Arabidopsis thaliana: one gene and its partners. The protein of the gene in region 3 interacts with the protein of the main gene of each other region in a pairwise test. Each region holds a gene or a part of one and is shown on either strand. Other genes may lie near its edges. The genes, in order: CPUORF7, ERF8, AT1G72210 and RCAR1.

What was found.
Region 1: the proteins of AT1G72210 (region 3) and CPUORF7 interact in binary tests that used the Arabidopsis thaliana proteins (3 or more experiments, as listed by UniProt).
Region 2: the proteins of AT1G72210 (region 3) and ERF8 interact in binary tests that used the Arabidopsis thaliana proteins (3 or more experiments, as listed by UniProt).
Region 4: the proteins of AT1G72210 (region 3) and RCAR1 interact in binary tests that used the Arabidopsis thaliana proteins (3 or more experiments, as listed by UniProt).

The regions. Positions count from the first base shown.
Region 1 is NC_003071.7:13,337,336-13,344,218, forward strand, and holds CPUORF7 (transcription factor bHLH155-like protein), read left to right. Parts: upstream 1-1,751; 5' UTR 1,752-2,094; coding exon of another isoform or gene 2,095-2,191; 5' UTR 2,192-2,342; coding exon 2,343-2,440; intron 2,441-2,737; coding exon 2,738-2,857; intron 2,858-3,049; coding exon 3,050-3,131; intron 3,132-3,205; coding exon 3,206-3,247; intron 3,248-3,370; coding exon 3,371-3,430; intron 3,431-3,560; coding exon 3,561-3,680; intron 3,681-3,840; coding exon 3,841-5,046; intron 5,047-5,152; coding exon 5,153-5,254; intron 5,255-5,509; coding exon 5,510-5,629; intron 5,630-5,668; coding exon of another isoform or gene 5,669-5,740; coding exon 5,741-5,917; coding exon of another isoform or gene 5,918-5,974; intron 5,975-6,002; coding exon 6,003-6,089; 3' UTR 6,090-6,327; downstream 6,328-6,883. Other genes in the region: AT2G31290 (Ubiquitin carboxyl-terminal hydrolase family protein), read left to right, coding at 6,816-6,883. UniProt on the Arabidopsis thaliana protein: Transcription factor that may regulate root development.
Region 2 is NC_003070.9:19,820,817-19,824,102, reverse strand, and holds ERF8 (ethylene response factor 8), read left to right. Parts: upstream 1-1,850; 5' UTR 1,851-2,006; coding exon 2,007-2,564; 3' UTR 2,565-2,766; downstream 2,767-3,286.
Region 3 is NC_003070.9:27,177,484-27,182,967, forward strand, and holds AT1G72210 (basic helix-loop-helix (bHLH) DNA-binding superfamily protein), read left to right. Parts: upstream 1-1,974; 5' UTR 1,975-2,582; coding exon 2,583-3,050; intron 3,051-3,585; coding exon 3,586-3,984; coding exon of another isoform or gene 3,985-4,047; exon of another isoform or gene 4,048-4,689; coding exon 4,690-4,785; 3' UTR 4,786-4,973; downstream 4,974-5,484.
Region 4 is NC_003070.9:140,284-143,815, forward strand, and holds RCAR1 (regulatory component of ABA receptor 1), read left to right. Parts: upstream 1-1,586; 5' UTR 1,587-1,854; coding exon 1,855-1,998; intron 1,999-2,140; coding exon 2,141-2,356; intron 2,357-2,427; coding exon 2,428-2,631; 3' UTR 2,632-2,978; downstream 2,979-3,532. Other genes in the region: HTR12 (Histone superfamily protein), read left to right, coding at 3,490-3,532. UniProt on the Arabidopsis thaliana protein: Receptor for abscisic acid (ABA) required for ABA-mediated responses such as stomatal closure and germination inhibition.

The DNA of each region.
Region 1 (6,883 bases), on a different chromosome or scaffold from region 3:
TTAATTTAAGAGTTTCACATGTAGTATACCATCTTGTATTAATATCGATCTAAACCCGTCAATTCTAGGATTTTTCAGCTTATATTAAAAATTGAATCACATCTAATATGTTATTAACTATTGTAATATATAAGATTATAAATTTTCAATATAATATGTATGAAATTGAATATGAATATTTCAAATTTATGTCCCCTTACTCAGTAGAAAGTTTTCTTAAATCTATTTTTCACCCGTTATAATATTATTTCATGTATTGAACAGTTTATATTTGTTTTTAAAAATTCAAATTATGGCATATGCGAAAAAACTCTAATTATTTTTTTATAATGATGATATTATTTTTCCGTATAAATAGAATCATATAAAGATGAGAAGTGAACTATAATAATTAATAAAAAATTAATATGATAATTTAGATACCAAATATAGTTTGTTGATTTTAATTGGTTACTTTTTTAGAAATTAATAATCTATTTCGTTTTTCTAATTAAATTAAATTAATTAAATTTAGATATCAAATCTTATATGTTGATTTTGATTGGCTATTATTTTTGGAAATTAATATTGTATTTCGTTTTTTAATTAATTTAATTAATTAAATTAGTATTTGACTTTTTAATCCTTAAAGAGATAAATTAATTTACTTTTTAAAATTTTATTTCTAATGGCATACCTATGTAATTACTTACAAAAATTAAGGTTATATTTAAAATGTACTTCCCAAATAATATAGTAGGATTGTCACTACGACTACGAGGGACACTTGCTAAATTTTCGGAATATTTTATCTTATGAATTAGAAGGAAAATTATTATGGAAGTTGTAATAAAACATGTACAACATTTTAAATATCATAGGTTTTTTATTACAAAAGTATTATATTTTAATAGTATATGGGAAAAACAATTGTCTCTTCAAAATTTATTCAAAATAAAAAAAAAATTAAACTATAGACGAATGAGCCTCGAAAACGCAATTCCTCAAACATTTTTTTTTACAATCTTATCCACCAACGTATGAGTCAAATCAAACAAATAGACACCTTAAAGTAAAGTATATACATAGTTCACTAATATTTTTGCTAGACGGTTAACCTCTTTATACATATACGAGATTCGAATTATCTACTCTGTAGATAAAATATATGATACAAACTTATCAAGAAAGACAATTGGGTTCGACTCACAAACTCTTGCCTTTAAGAATCCTACCACTAATTCCGCAGCTCTAGCCTCATCACTCTCTTCTCCCATGGGATATACAATTCATAGTAGACTTCCTACAACTTCGGTAAACGAGCCGAGTATACAATGTTTAGCGCACAATTTCCGCGGGAAATACAAAAAAGATTGTGATGTTAATGTGATGAATTTGTAATTAAACACACGATAAATTAGTGCAATGTGTAAAATATTTTATAAATTTGTGAGTAATGGGTAAAAAAAAAAGTAAAGAAGGAAGCAAAGTTCAGTTGGTGAATCATTTTGCTGGCCATTACTCTATAAGAGAGAGAGATCCTATCTCCATAAAATCCCATACCCTCAAACACACACACACTCACCATCCCACTAACTCGAATAGTTAACATGCGCACACCGATCCTTGGCCTTTCGTTGCTAAAATGAGCATGGTGCGTGATTCACCCGCTTACTTGCTCGATTTCTCCTTCACCCTTTTAAAAAGGAACGTCTTTTAGCTTACCTCTGCCTCCTTTACCCTCTCTCTCTCTCTATCTCTATCTCTGTTCTTTCCTTTTTCCGGCGAATTTCTGGGCTGAGATTGTTAGTGTCTCTGAGTGATGCAGAGATCAACTGTTGTAGTTAATCAATATCTTCTGACATAAGCTAAACTCGATTCTTTCTTACAATCTCTCTGTCTCTCTCTGCTTCCTTTTCTACTGTCTTCTTTCTTCTTCTCTAGCTTTTGAATTTTCAATATTGATTTCTCCCATGGCGAGTAGCAGTTGCAGCAGATCTATCTCTGTTTCAAATTCTGATTCTCTCGGTGTTTTTTGTTTGAGCTAGGGCTAAATTAGTTTCCTTCTTGGGTTTTTATTCGTAATCCGATTCAAAGTTTGTATCTTTGGGAGGGATGGGTAAGAGGCAAATATCACAAGATGAAGTAGGTCCGCCCATAAAACCAAGAGCTGGTTTACGAAGGGAACAAGCTGGAAGAGGTTCTTACAGAGGTAGTTAGTTACTTTGTATCTCATCGAAAACGAATCAAAAGAAGCTTCTTTTTTTTTTTATTAGAGGTTGGGGAGGAGATAGTATAAAACAACTGTTTAGAGTTCTGATTTGTGGTTTTTGAGTCCGGGGTTTTGAGGTTTACCCTTTAGAATGGGTTCTACTTCTCAAGAGATACTGAAGAGCTTTTGCTTTAACACGGACTGGGACTATGCTGTGTTCTGGCAACTTAATCATCGAGGATCTCGAATGTGAGTCATCTAAACAATTCTCTTTACTGTCTTTGCGTGGTGGATCATTATAATTGTCTACGAGTTAGAACTGTGGTAATTGATTTAGGTGTATTGACTTCAACTTGCTAGAGTGGAAATATGGAACCTTATATCGAAATGCAGCAGCTTTAAGTTAACAATTGTAGTTTAAGTGTCTGAAGATTGTTTCTGTACTTTTAAGTTTTGTGTGCAGTTCAGGATTCTATTTCTTTATATGTTTTAGTGTTTTAGTTGACCAGATAGTTTCTCAATTTTTTGAATAATGAACACCTGTAGGGTACTTACCTTGGAGGATGCTTACTATGACCATCATGGGACGAATATGCATGGAGCACATGACCCCCTTGGGTTAGCTGTGGCAAAGATGTCTTATCATGTCTATTCTCTAGGGGAAGGGTAAGAATATATTGCTCTGATTCACTCTTATCATGCCTATAGTTTGATGTGCCCTTTTTCCTTCTTTTTTTATTTGACAGTAGCCACATAATGCAAAGCTTTTGTTGTGTCCTTGAGCTTGATGTTAGCTTTTACAATAGTTAACAATCTTGGGTCTATTGTTGAATTATGTTATCATATCTATATAAACAGGATTGTAGGACAAGTTGCAGTTTCTGGAGAACACCAATGGGTATTTCCCGAAAATTATAACAACTGTAACTCAGCATTTGAGGTTAGGGACTTTCTATCTGAAATTAAATTTGTTTTCTTCGTGTTTTTAAACCAAATGTCTTTTTTTAATTACAGTTTCATAACGTTTGGGAAAGTCAAATTTCTGCTGGAATTAAGGTATTTGGATTTTTCTTTAGTGCTCTTTCTGTCTGCTTTATTATACATACTTGTCAAGAACATCCTCAAAGTTTGCCACTGGAGACTTTCCTTTTTAAAATATCTATTCTTCCTTCTCCGCAGACCATTCTTGTAGTAGCTGTTGGTCCATGTGGAGTTGTTCAGCTAGGCTCTTTGTGTAAAGTAAGTAAGATCTTAAAATTGGATGCGGTGTTCGCAGTTACAAAATAATAGCCAGGAAGAACACCTGCACACTTATAATAGATGGCACATATATACATATCTGGTCTTATTTTGTATTTGTTTGGAGCAGGTTAATGAAGATGTGAATTTTGTGAATCATATCCGACATTTATTTCTGGCACTTAGGGATCCATTGGCAGACCATGCAGCAAATTTAAGGCAATGTAATATGAACAATTCGTTATGTCTGGTAAAGATCTTCTTCATTCAAATATGGATTCATGTTTTTTCTAGATTTCTTGTTATTTGCAAAATGGGGAGAGTAAAGTGCTTAGGGTTCTTCTAACAGTTACTCAAACCTCCACTGACTTCCTGAGTAGACCATGATGTGTTGTATAATTTTGTTGCAGCCAAAAATGCCTTCTGAAGGTTTACATGCTGAGGCTTTCCCTGATTGCTCTGGAGAAGTTGACAAAGCTATGGACGTGGAAGAGTCCAATATTCTAACTCAATACAAAACTAGAAGAAGTGATAGCATGCCTTACAATACTCCTTCGTCATGTCTTGTCATGGAGAAGGCAGCCCAAGTTGTTGGTGGTCGTGAAGTTGTGCAAGGATCTACTTGTGGGAGTTATAGTGGTGTTACGTTTGGCTTTCCAGTTGACTTGGTTGGTGCCAAACATGAGAATCAAGTAGGTACTAATATAATCAGGGATGCACCTCATGTGGGAATGACTAGTGGCTGCAAAGATTCAAGGGATTTAGATCCTAATTTACATCTGTATATGAAGAATCATGTGCTCAATGATACAAGCACATCTGCTTTAGCAATTGAGGCTGAAAGATTGATAACAAGCCAATCATATCCACGCCTGGACTCAACTTTTCAGGCTACCTCGAGAACAGATAAAGAAAGTTCTTACCATAATGAAGTGTTCCAACTATCTGAGAACCAAGGAAATAAATACATAAAAGAGACTGAGCGTATGCTGGGGAGGAACTGCGAGTCTAGTCAATTTGATGCTTTGATCTCATCTGGGTATACTTTTGCTGGCAGCGAGCTACTAGAAGCGTTAGGCTCTGCTTTCAAGCAAACGAACACTGGTCAGGAGGAGCTACTGAAGTCTGAACATGGTTCAACAATGAGACCAACAGACGATATGAGTCATAGCCAGCTCACGTTTGACCCTGGCCCTGAGAATCTTCTAGATGCTGTGGTTGCTAATGTGTGTCAAAGAGATGGTAATGCGAGGGATGATATGATGTCGAGCAGATCGGTACAATCATTGCTTACTAACATGGAACTGGCAGAACCCTCAGGTCAGAAGAAGCATAATATTGTTAACCCAATTAATAGTGCTATGAATCAGCCACCAATGGCAGAGGTGGATACCCAACAAAATTCATCAGATATTTGTGGAGCGTTTTCTTCAATTGGATTCTCATCTACGTACCCCAGCTCCTCTAGTGATCAGTTTCAGACATCCCTGGACATACCCAAGAAGAACAAAAAGAGGGCCAAACCTGGTGAAAGTTCTCGACCTCGCCCAAGAGACAGGCAACTTATTCAAGATCGAATCAAGGAACTTAGAGAACTTGTGCCTAATGGATCTAAGGTGATTTTTCTCTTCCTAGCTACAAGATTACTTGCACCTTCCTTTGTAATGAATTTAACTTATAATATATTTTTGTCATTCACTAATATTTTTGTCACATTTTCAGTGCAGTATCGATTCTTTGCTAGAACGAACGATCAAACACATGCTCTTTTTGCAGAATGTTACTAAGCATGCTGAAAAGCTCAGTAAAAGTGCTAATGAAAAGGTAAAAATGTCAGCTTTCTTGATAACTGATAATCTCTGTTCTATCCTAGAAATTTTTATTCCAGCCTCCATAGTTTGTAAATGAACACATTAAGCAGTTTGTTAGGTTTGATTGATTGATGTAGCAAATAGTGGATCAAATTTCTGAATCCTTGAATGAGAAGATAGGATTATTAGGCACATGGAGATATATAGAAAAACTCAACTGAAAATCAGAAGTAAATATCAAAATTAGCTTATACCTTTGTAATCTCAGATGCAACAAAAGGAAACTGGTATGCAAGGTTCAAGCTGCGCAGTGGAGGTTGGAGGTCATCTTCAAGTAAGCTCGATCATCGTGGAGAATCTGAACAAGCAGGGGATGGTGCTTATCGAGGTATGTAATCTTACATTTTGTCTCTTTTCTTTGGTTTAGTTTAATCTTTGTTTGAACTCGAGTCCCAAGTTCTGCGAGTGTGTATTAAAAGTATTTTTGGGTATTGGACAGATGTTATGTGAAGAATGTGGCCATTTTCTTGAGATAGCAAACGTCATAAGGAGCTTAGACCTCGTCATCCTAAGAGGTTTCACCGAGACTCAGGGCGAGAAAACATGGATATGCTTTGTAACTGAGGTAGGAAGTCGAATTACCCAATTCATGAAAGAGATTCCAAAGCAAATCAAAGTATTTTCCTTGGTTTTGATTGAACTTTGGATTAGTATGATATATATGACTGACTAACATCGAGATACTGATATATGAATGGCAGAGCCAAAACAGCAAAGTAATGCAGAGGATGGACATTTTGTGGTCTCTGGTGCAAATATTTCAACCAAAGGCCAATGAGAAGGGGTAACAGGCGTGGTTGCAGAGTTTGCGTTTACGTAAGATAAAGAATAGGCTTGTGTGGGCTTGTACAGTGTTGTTGTGACACTCACTGCAATACTTTCATTTGTTTGTTTTGATTTTTTGTATAAAAGATAGGACTTCAAAGTTGAGTGTTTAGTGTGTTTATGATTTGCATTTGTTTGCTTTTGAGTTTTTGGACCCTTTGAAGTTTGTATATATACATGACTTGAAACTTTGATTTTCTTCATACGTTTGATTTGCAAGCTGTGGAATTATAAATTAATGGTTAGAAATTTGCAAGCATGCATTGTAATTATCATAATCAAAACTGAGTAAACAACAAACACTAAACCCAAACAAAGAAGTCTTAGAAAGAAGAAAGCTTTCACTTTCACCAGCACTAGTCCCTGTTCTGCCACAGTCTCTTCGCTGCAGAGAGTAAGGGCATAAAATTTGTTCCTTCGAATCTCGGGTTCAGAAGCAAAATCTCTTTTCTACCTCTTGTCGAAACTGTGGCGTTGTTGAGTCTGATGAATCGACTTCAAAGGCTTCTCCTTTCTGCTCCTCGCTTATCTCCTCCGATCATACTTCCTTCGTGGCGGTATTAGGGTTCTGTTTTGCTCCTCTGATACTCTAAAGGTGGAGGCTTTTCTATTTCTTTTTGCTTATAACCAATCGCATTCGTCAATAATTGAAGTTTGAGTTTGATTAGGTTTGGTAGTCAGAGACTGATATGGCTATGACACGAGAGTTATATCGGATTCTGGGTACCAAGTATGCTCCATTGTTAATCCGAAGATT
Region 2 (3,286 bases), 7.4 Mb from region 3:
ACTTTACAATTTAAGTTTGAATTTGGCAAAAAAAAGTTTTTGTTGTGCGTTTATTTGACTAGATTATATTATACTTTACTCTAACTACAATCATATATATACATTGGTAACACGATAGACAACATATATAAAAGTCTTTTAAACTATAAAAGCCAACATATATATTCCATAGTATTCTTTAAAACAAAAACAAATATGCATGTAAATAATAGATTTGTCTTTTTATTGTTGTCACTGTAGCGACATTTTTTTCCGTCACTGTAACAACGTATATTTTCTCCACAGAACTAACAAATTCGAATCTATTTGTTTGATGGTGTTCATTTTTAATCCAATGTACATATGCAAGTAGTAGATATCTCTTTCTTTTTTGTATATACACGATATATAAAATAGTTCACTAAGTTATAAATCTAAAAATTTATTTTGATAATATTTTGTTTACCAAATAAATACACAAATAGTATATATGCGTTGTTCGTCATGATATCGTCATATATAAAATCCACTACAATATAAAATTTTGGTCATTTTGTTTGATAATATTTATTTTTCACCAGATATAAGCATGTAAATAATAGATTTTTTTTTTCTTGTCGGCTCGTTAACGACATTTATAACGGAATAACGGTATACTAAAGTACAAATTTTTATTCTATTCCCTTTATACCAAATAAGCTTTCATGGTAACATCCGCTAAATTATATATTGTCATCATGGTAACATCCGCTAAATTACAAATTTCAAATAATTTTTACTTTTACCAAACAGAAAAGTAAGAAATATTTTTTTGTCGACACTTTAACGATATATATATGTAACGGTATATAATTTACAAATTCAGAAATTTTGTTCGCTATATATTTTCTTACAAATTTTTTTTTTTTTGTTTATGTGTTAACAACATATATAACTACAAATTCGATAATTTTGTTTGAATATTTTTTCTACTAGATACACACACAATAGTTTATATTATATATATATATATATAAATCTTGACCTAACTAAAACATATAGTTTAAAAGGGTGTTATTAGTTCTTAATTAATTAAAAAAAATTCAAGAATCTGATAAAATCATAGATTGTAAAGAAATGAAAGTTTCTAAACTATTATTATAGAGTTTTCTATAATCTTGTTGATTAGTTTTTCACAATTTCTAAATTTTCTCAAACAATCTTTCTTTTTTAATGATACTTTTCGTAACTTTATTTTGGAAAAAGTGTAGAAAATCATAAACCAATAACACAATAATTTAATTCATTGACAATTATAGATTCTTTTGTTTTAGCTAAATAATATAAAATTTATAATAATTTTATAAAAGTATAAATCCAATAACTATAGATTTATCAAGATTTTAAATTATTTTTTACAAATCTTAATATTTTAAATTTTTTTAATTGAATAACAATAGATTCTTTATAATATTTTAAGTTACTAAAACTTTAATTAAATCACAAACTAATAACACTCTTTAATAGTGTATACTAGTATTATTGTTATGTCATTATATAGATTTAAATCCGCATATTACATTGCTTTAATAAGAAAAATTACTTAAAATTGCAAAGTGGCGATATAACATGTTTTATAGATTTAGTACAAATATGTTCCTAGTTTAAATAGGGATAAATGCAGCAAAAACCAAATTATATTATATTCTTAATAGGCAGTAACTTAATTTATAAGATTGTGATTTGTGCAGTCTTTGTTACAAAGGTGAAAAAGGGTAATAAATAAGATTCTTTTGGAGAAAGAGAAGTGAACACGTGGCAAAACATAAGTGGATATAATAACAAAAACCAGTTTTTATATGAAATAAGAGAAGCATGAGAGAGAGATAATTAAACCATCTCTCAAAATGGCTTTGACTGTTCACAAGAAAGCTCCCCAAAAGGAGCGTTGCTTTACTCTCCTATAAAAAGAAGCTCTTCTACTTCTTCTCGTTACCACAAAACTCTTTCACCGATCTTCTCGTTCCATTCTTCTTCCTAATTACACCATGCCCAACATCACCATGGGTTTGAAACCCGACCCGGTTGCTCCAACGAACCCGACTCATCATGAGAGTAATGCTGCCAAAGAGATTCGTTACAGAGGCGTTAGGAAACGTCCATGGGGAAGATACGCCGCTGAGATCCGAGATCCGGTTAAGAAAACTCGAGTCTGGCTCGGTACGTTCGACACCGCTCAGCAGGCGGCGCGTGCTTACGACGCAGCCGCGCGTGACTTTCGTGGTGTTAAGGCTAAGACCAATTTCGGTGTTATCGTTGGTAGTAGTCCTACTCAGAGTAGCACCGTCGTCGACTCTCCCACGGCGGCACGGTTTATAACACCTCCGCACCTCGAGCTCAGCTTAGGCGGCGGCGGCGCGTGTCGTCGTAAGATCCCGCTTGTGCATCCGGTTTACTACTATAACATGGCGACGTATCCAAAGATGACGACGTGTGGTGTCCAGAGCGAGTCTGAAACGTCGTCGGTCGTTGATTTCGAAGGTGGAGCTGGGAAGATATCTCCGCCGTTAGATCTGGATCTTAACTTAGCTCCTCCGGCGGAATAGGCCGTGAGTTTTTTTTTTCTTATGTCGTTTCTTTAGACAAAAAAAAATAACGTTTCCTTTTTTTTTCTGCCTAAGAAAAAAATATTATCCGTTTTTTAGAAGAAAGTGTAGAAAAGCTCCAATATAATTTTTAGCTGCCGTGAAAAAAAAGTCGTTATGTATATATTATTATGAAACCCTATTATAAATCGACGTAACATAAGAGGATCTTAAGCTTTTTTTTTTTCTTTAGTATTTGCCAAGGAAATGCATCATCGTAAATTCGTAATTGAAAAGATAAAGTATTATAGAGCTTTTTGGGGCTCGTGTGTAGAAGAAATAGATAAAGAATGGTAATGTTATTATTATAAGACTAAATATAGTGATGAGTATCGTCGTCGTCGGCTTGAAAAGACAATGGTCCAAGTGTCGTGAAGACACGCACCAATCGTGGGAGGACCGGACCCATCTTCTCTGGCTGCGGCGTACGTTAGAAGAATACTTCTTTACGCTTACGTCATTTTCACAGTTTGGACTGCTTTTCTAACTTTTGACTTTTGTGTTTTGCATCAACTCTTTTAACTCCGATGATTTATTAACAGATGGTTAAGAGTCTTGCTTAAGTTGAATAGTATTCGATTTGAAATGGTAAAAATGTTTTAAGGAAGTTGAAGATAAGAAGAGCGGCGGCTTCATAATGAGAGACAAAGGAAGGATGAGATTTGATTTTGATTCTTGTCGCC
Region 3 (5,484 bases):
TTTGTTTTCAAACTAACTTTGCACTAATTCTTGTAACAATCTCTATGTTTGATCAATTATAACTTCGGCGATCCTTGAAAAAAATATCTAAATTATTTAGCTAGGAGCCTAGGACTATATATTATTTTTGCCTACTATAGTACTACTTGGATGGTTTTGAAATTATGGTATCTTTTTATGTCGCAAATAAAAACTAGAGGTACACGGACTTAAAGGAGACAAGAGTATCATAGCCTTAGATTTATTTTCCACCGTGTTTCTAAATAGTGGGATTCTTTCGAGTTTCGATCAAATGATTTTTCGCTTAGATTTCGTTTTGCATCACATATTTAAGTTGTTGCTTCCCTCTATTGGTTAAAGCGACCAAACAACTTTGTTACACAGCAACCCTAAGTCGTGTCATAGCCATCTAATTCTCACATCTTCTATACCGCATAAAAGTTCGATAATTATTAATTAGACTAATGGAAAGATGCCACCTAGTTAATATACAAATTAAGTTGGGATATCGTCTCTTATTCTTACATATGTCAACATCAAGAATACTTTGTTTTAAGCATGACATGATTACATTAATAAAGCATTACCCCACACGCCGAAATGTTATTCTTATTTTTATCCGTGAATTTTTTCTATGATCAAATTTGTCCGTCTAAGTGGATTGAATGCAAATGTGAGTGTTTAATTCCCATCATCAGTTGGAAGATCAGGGATTCTTTTTGTACAAGATTGGAAGATCAGGTTTTTGAGTTGAATATGGTTTGATCATCATCATTTTACGAACATTCGAAACTTGCATAGTCGAGTAATTTTTATCTCTCAATTTCTGTTTCTTAATCAATATCCACGTAAGTTTTTTTTTTTTTTTTTTTTAAACAGTTGTTTTTAAGTATCAAAGACATGGGAACCAGACAGTTGAAAATATATTTTTAAGACAAATTTACATATTTTAAATGTCTTCTAATCTTAATATTTTAAATGTTTTCTAATATTATCTTGTTTTAAAAAAAGAACACATATTTTCAAATTATATGATATTGTTGTTACTATTATTTCTTTTTTTACTATAAATTTTGTGACAATATATATATATATATATATATATATTAACCATTTTTCGGCGGTATAAAATAGTTTACCACCGAGTAATTGCATTCAATCGCACGACCAACAAGTTATAGTATTATTCACTTTGCCCCAAACTAAAAGTTTATTTTAGAAAATTCATTAACAGTAAATTTCATTTCCTTCAAAATACATTTTTGTTCTGTTTTTATTTATTTATTTAATATATTAACATTTATCATGTATGATGATTGATGAAGATGATTTTCTCAACATTTCTCTCCTTTTTTTTTTGTCTCTCAACATTTCTCTCCTATATAAAATTTAAACTATTGAACGAATGTTACTGCTACGAAATTATAATATTTACTCTAAGTTGTCATCAGGATTCTATTACTTTAAAAGCCAAAATTTACTAATCAAAAACTAGTTGATAGATTGTAAAATTAATTAAGCACATTTATTGATTTAAAATTTATTTTTTACTCTACAAATCGTGATTTCCAAGAGTTGTATCTATATAAAGGCAATATGCTTTCGGACCCATGCATGGTCTTGATGTTTTTTTACGGTTATTCCATTACGGGTAGGGTTATGTGATAAACGATATGATTTCATATAAAAAGAATAAATCAGCGGTCATTGTCTCCGCATGGTTCGGGGAAAAAATACTCGTATAAATAAGCCTTTAGATTTCGAATTTATAAAGCTTTGACGTCGGCTGATACATAGAAACAAAAAAAAACTTTGATGTCAAGCTCTCTTTCCTCTTCCTGTCCATCAATACGCGTTACACACGCACAATAGAAGCAAATTATTGTTTGAATACCTAAAAGAGGATAGACGACATAATTATCACCGCAAACACTCTAAATTTTGGGATATAGCTTTCATTAGATTACATTTTGACTCACATGGTATACGGCAAAAAAATATTAAATTCATGGCAACGTATAAAGTTGATATTTCAACATGTTATAATTTCTCTCTCTTCGAACATGAGTGTAACAAGACGAACCCCAAAGCCTGCAAAAACACACAGAATCTTTTCTTTGGTTTTGTGGACCGGTCTACAATCTCACGTGCAAAACCAAACATACACGATCTCTCTCTCTCTATATCTCTACTTTTTCTGAACTCAGTTGGTTTCGATTTTCTTCGGACCTTCTATTGTTAAATCAGCTTTATAACCTCACAAGCTTCTCCTCTATTCCATAGATCAAACCACAACTTTGTTTGACCTTTTTTTGAGTACTTCTCTTGTCTTTTCTTCTTCAAGTTTACTTAGTTCTTTGAGAACAAATTTCTGTTGATTTTTTTTCTTTCTTGTAGAGGGATAATTACAAGTTTAATTTCCCTAGAGTGTCTTTACCTTTTGCCTTGTCTCCCTCTCGAGACAAAAAGAGAAAGAGAAACACTTTCTGTCCTCTTTTTTTTTCCTCTCTTTTTCTCTCTCGCTGGAAACCTTTTCATATTCAAGTGTAATTTTAATATTTCAAGCAATTTTCTAGCTAATTATGGCCTTGGAGGCTGTAGTTTACCCGCAAGATCCGTTCTCCTACATCTCTTGCAAAGATTTTCCGTTTTACGACTTATACTTTCAAGAAGAAGAAGATCAAGATCCACAAGATACTAAGAACAACATTAAGCTAGGGCAAGGACAAGGACATGGTTTTGCGAGTAATAATTACAACGGTAGAACCGGAGATTATAGTGATGATTATAATTACAACGAAGAGGATCTCCAATGGCCACGAGACCTTCCTTATGGATCTGCCGTCGACACCGAGAGCCAGCCTCCACCGTCGGATGTGGCGGCGGGAGGAGGGAGGAGGAAAAGGAGGAGGACGAGGAGTAGCAAGAACAAAGAAGAGATCGAGAACCAGAGGATGACTCACATCGCCGTTGAAAGAAATCGCCGGAAACAGATGAACGAGTACCTCGCCGTTCTCCGGTCTCTCATGCCACCTTATTATGCTCAAAGGGTTAGTCTCTACATACAACAGTTATATGTATATGTGAGTGTGAGCGCGTGAAATATTCAGTCCTTTAGCTGTATTTCTTGACGTGTCAAAAAAAAAAAAAAAAAGCAAAGCCTATGTTCTAGGCTTTCAGCTAATTAGGACATGCATAGGCTATACATAGATATGTCATATGCATGTATGTTTATATGTTTTGAAATATAAATTTGAGAATGATGATAGATGAATGAAAGCCGTTATATATATTGACAAAAAATAAAAACTAAACGAAAGTCGTTATTTCTTTTTTTCATAATTTTATTAGATCATGTAGTCTCTAAATGAAAATTTTGTTAGTGGAATTGTGGGAGCATAAATAAAGTCTTGAACATCATTGCACCCAAAAAGGACTATACATATTATAGATTTATAATGAGATGGTGACATAATATATTTTTTAAAAAATTAAGGTACGAAATATAGACATGTTTGATTGTTTTTGCAAAACCTTTTGCAATTTCTATGTGCTAGACTAACATAAGGTTGGTGGTGGTTAAAGGGAGATCAAGCATCGATAGTAGGCGGAGCCATTAACTACTTAAAGGAGCTTGAGCATCATTTACAATCAATGGAACCTCCGGTTAAGACCGCCACAGAAGACACCGGAGCCGGCCACGACCAGACCAAAACAACCTCGGCTAGTTCGTCGGGACCATTCTCGGATTTCTTTGCATTTCCTCAGTACTCGAACCGGCCTACCTCTGCGGCGGCGGCTGAGGGGATGGCGGAGATAGAGGTAACGATGGTAGAGAGCCATGCGAGTCTGAAAATACTTGCGAAAAAGAGACCGAGACAGCTTCTTAAACTGGTCTCATCGATACAGAGCCTAAGGCTCACTCTTCTCCATCTAAACGTCACAACTCGAGACGACTCCGTCCTCTATTCCATCAGCGTCAAGGTACATTTTTTTCTCTCTTTTTCACCATTTTTTGTTTTTTTTTTCCTAACCAGATTAGAGTGATCATGTTATATAATACCGTTGTTTAGGGTTAGTGGGTTGAATTTGCAAATTCAAATTAAATTGGTATCTAATAATTAATGGGTGACTAATCATTACTCCCATTGTTGGTTTTGGTTCAATGATTATTCATTGATTGTTTTTCCAATCACAAATGTTTTGTGCATTTAATGTGTCTCTTATTAGTACATGTTGTGAATTATTTGTCTGGGCCAAAAAAGGTTTTCCAAGAACAAAAATAAAAATCGTTCCTTTTTTCTCGTTCTTTTTTACTTGGTTAGGGCTGGCCTCAATTATTGGGGGGTCAAAATCATCATTTCTTATTTATTAAAAAAGACAAAATTTTGAGTACTATCATAATATTGATTCTTGTAAGAATCAGGGACCAAAAAGATGACATATGCCTACACATGTGTGAATGTGTGTATATATATATGTGTACTGGGCATGTTTGGTGGTCACAACACTGTGGATGCACTGTGCACGGCAGAACGAAATGACGCCACTTGTTTCAGGACACATTCATAAGCTTCTTCCTCGAAATATAAACATTTTCTTTAATCATCTTTTTACCTTTTCAATGACTATATATCAATCTTTTTCATGTAACTTAAAAGAAAATATTAAAATAATGGGTTTATTCAGGTTGAAGAAGGGAGCCAATTGAATACAGTAGAAGATATTGCAGCAGCTGTGAATCAAATCCTAAGGAGGATCGAAGAAGAGTCATCCTTTAGCTAGTATTGTTGAATTTTAGTTATGGCACATTTAGAGGAGCTCTAATTTTTCATGTGTGATCTTTTGCTCTCTCTTTTTCATATATTAAATAATATAAATTTCCTTTTTCTTTTTGTTAACGTTAATTCTAATGCATTATATATTGGAGTTTTTGTGTGATTGACCTTTTAGACCTGATCACAAAAGAGGAACTAGCTTTTAAGAGCTCTATACGAGAATAGTAATTATAAGCTTGAGCAATTGAATTTTCCCACACATAAAAAAAAGGCTTGAACAATTTGACTGGTTATGAGATAGCTGAAAAAAATTCAACCACACTTATATAAATATACCGGTATGAGTCATGTGAAGGCGTCCCTAAAAGACTCGGTATATCGTGAATAACCGGCTTTGCACGGTTCGTTTAAGAAGGAATTAGTTAGAATAGTATATTTTGTGAAGTAATGTCTAAATATGCGCTAATTAAGAAAAAAGTTTGATGAGACTCTCATGGTCTGAATCAGATGTTTTGAACACCCATGACATCTAAGACACCCGCAAAGGGCCACATATACGATCGTAAATAATAATCTAGTCTGGGGTCGGAGAACACTTAAGTTCTAATCGGAGAGACTTTTCAGACTCAATCCACCACTAGTTTTTGGGTAAGCAAACATAGTTTAAAACTATATTTGCACATTCGCAAAAGGGAGATCCCTTTCC
Region 4 (3,532 bases), about 27 Mb from region 3:
TCCGTCTGTTTTTTTTGTGGTATTGGTTAATTCGAAAAGATTCGGAACCTATTGGCCGGCAAAAAAGTTATCCAAATGAACAAAAAGAAGAATTACACGTGTCAAGTTCACGAGAAACGACATAATACGTGAACATGAAAATGACAGACAATAAACCAATGAAAATATGACACGTATATTGGTTTCCTATTATTTAACCGTATTTAGCTCATTGTCGCTGTCACTAAAAAGGCTCCTTGTTTTTATCTTGAAGCAGTTAATAATTTACGCCAAAGTCGTCTTTTGCGTTTAAGTTCGCATGCCTAGCTAGTGCCAAAGGTGATCCTATCCGATAAGCTTTGTTTTGGGTAAATTTTTATCTGATAAGGTTACTGTAATTATCGTCAATTACCGCTCTTTTAAGTACTATATTATCACTTAACATTTTTTAAAAAATATGATTGCAGAAAATGTTATATATAAACTAAATCCCTATTTTATCATAACGTCAATTTCAGACAATTAATGAGATATGTAAGCATAAACCATATTCATATTGAACAAGAAAACCTCCGGTTACAATTATATGTGTTGTTTAAAATGGTTACAAAATCGGAAGATTGTTCGTTATGAAAACCTTAAACCATAATTAATACATATGTTAGAAGATAATTAGATAAGTAATCATTTAACTAGATTTATCTAAAAAGTGATTATGTTGTTTTTGTTTGAGAAAACCAAGTAAAGGTGAGTCTTTTCTCCTTTGGGAAAAACAAAAGTAGAATTCAAAAAAGAAAGAAATAGAATTCACTAATTATATAGTAATCCATTAATATTACTGGTTAGAAAGCGTAATTAGCGGCGGTGGTTATCAAAAGTGACTTCCACCATATGTTTCGAAAGCTTGAGTTTCACGAAGAAGATGGAGGAGGGGCAACTTTAGACTAGTGGAGATGAATCGAATGATGATTTATTGTAGATTCTTTGTGGTATCTCATCTTTCCTTCGTATGAGGTGTGATTCACAACAAATACAATTTAACAAAAACTAGTTTGTCTACATTCGGTATGATATAATTAAGGACTTTGTCTCAAACAGATTAAAGTTCTTGTTTCATGATTTTAGATTGTGGATGCCTTGTACCAATCTTCTTGTAGAAATGCCTTCTCCTCCTAGAAGAGAAATTACACCTTACGTGTCGTACATGACTACATGGAACAGTCACTTTGCAGATAGGATATGGTGTTAGACATTTAGCTTGATACAATTAATTAATGTTTAACAACAAGGTTTAAAGGCAACGAGAGCTATATCTAATAAGATGTGGTCTAAGACATATGAGACCTGATACATGGAGAATCACTCATTTATAAATTTCTGGTATATTAACGACATTTTGTGTCTAAAAAATTAGCTATTATAATGAATATGGTCTAAAATTGAATTTAAATTAACAAAACTATCTATAAAGTTTGAAACGATCTTACCTAATCAAAACAAATAATTATCTAAGCAATCTGTTTTGTTTTGTTCGGATTATATAGGTCCCCAAAACGTCATACAATAAAACTTGCTTAAATATTTTGTTTTTTTGTTACATTAAAAAATTAGTATCTTGTTGTGTTTTTGTTTGGTTTGAAAAGCTGAAAATGTGTGAAGGAGAAGAAGGAAGCTATAAAAAAGAGTTTAGGTACAAAAGTAAAAAGTTATTATGTCGGTGGGTTCATTAAAAGAAACCAAAAAACATAAACAAGTAATTTTGTTTTGGCATAACGAAGCATCTTCTTCTTCTTCCTTGTATTTATTATCCATTTCCAGAGATTCTCCCTTGTGAGATAACAACGAAGAACGAAAGAGAGAGAGAGAGAGAGAGATATGATGGACGGCGTTGAAGGCGGCACGGCGATGTACGGTGGTCTCGAGACGGTGCAATACGTACGGACGCATCATCAACATCTGTGCAGAGAAAACCAGTGTACCTCTGCTCTTGTCAAACACATCAAAGCTCCTCTTCATCTCGTAAGCTTCTCCAATCTACCACTAATTTCACCCTTTTCGTACCATTTTCTCCATGATCCGTCAATTTTGATCCCAACCATCGATTTAGGGTTTTTTCCCCCAAATCTCTGTTTAACGATTGATTATAATTGATTTTTTTTAGGTTTGGTCACTTGTACGGAGATTTGATCAGCCGCAGAAATACAAACCGTTTGTGAGCAGATGTACAGTAATCGGTGATCCTGAAATCGGCAGTCTTAGAGAAGTCAATGTTAAATCTGGTCTTCCTGCAACAACATCTACTGAGAGATTAGAACTTCTTGATGATGAAGAACACATCCTCGGTATCAAAATCATCGGTGGTGATCACAGACTTAAGGTACAGCGAGAGAAATCAAATCTCATTGATGTTTGTTTATATGCAGATTCTCATTGATTGTTTGTTTGCAGAATTACTCGTCGATTTTGACGGTTCATCCGGAGATAATCGAGGGAAGAGCAGGAACGATGGTGATTGAATCGTTTGTAGTTGATGTTCCTCAAGGTAACACAAAGGATGAGACTTGCTACTTTGTTGAAGCACTTATCAGATGTAATCTCAAGTCACTAGCAGATGTTTCTGAAAGATTGGCTTCTCAGGACATTACTCAGTGAACTACATAATCAATGAACAAGGGCATTGAAGTGAAGTATCAATTCCAGTTTGTGATATAATCAATATTCTTCAGGATTTTTTTGGTTTGGCCTAGATATATATATAGATATCTATCCTCGGTAATGACCAGTCTAAAAAGATGTACATATTGTCCCAATGGTGAAGTTTTGATGTAAGATATCTCCTGGTGGTTTGTTATTTGTAGATATTTTTGTAAACAATGTAAATGTGAATGGTTTATGATGTATAATATATAGTTCACAAAAGATGTTTCTGTAGACTTCAGATTCCACTTCTCTATTGAACAGAACCTATGATTGGATGCTGAGAACTTGTAAAGAATCTGAGGCAGAAAGTTGAAAAACTGTGTCAATTTCATTAACTTGAAAAGATGAGCATAAATTGGGAGAGAGAGAGAGAGACAAAGATTTTGAATTGAGGTTTAACGGTAAAACACACAAAACCTATTCCCCTCTGTTTCCAATTTTCATCTAAACAAACAGGTACATATTTGAATGTAATATTGTATACAGACCAGGGGTAAAACAGGAACTAAAGAAGGCTAACAATCGAGTCGAACCCTCTATGTGAAGCCACAGGTTTAGTGCAAATTGTAATAAGTTGTTCAGAGAGACTCTTGACTGAAACAAATTGTGAAGCAGATTCGATTTTAAAATCAAAATTTGAGTGTCGAGCGGGAAAGTAAAAGTTCCGCTCCAATCTTCTAATCTTTTCGTATCTAGCGGGAAATTTCTCAGCAGGTGACTTTCATAATCGCAGTTTTCGTCGATTCTCTTTTCCGATTTTACGATTCCTCTCTCTCTCTCATGGTGCGATTTCTCCAGCAGTAAAAATCAATGGCGAGAACCAAGCATCGCGTTACCAGGTCACAACCTCGGA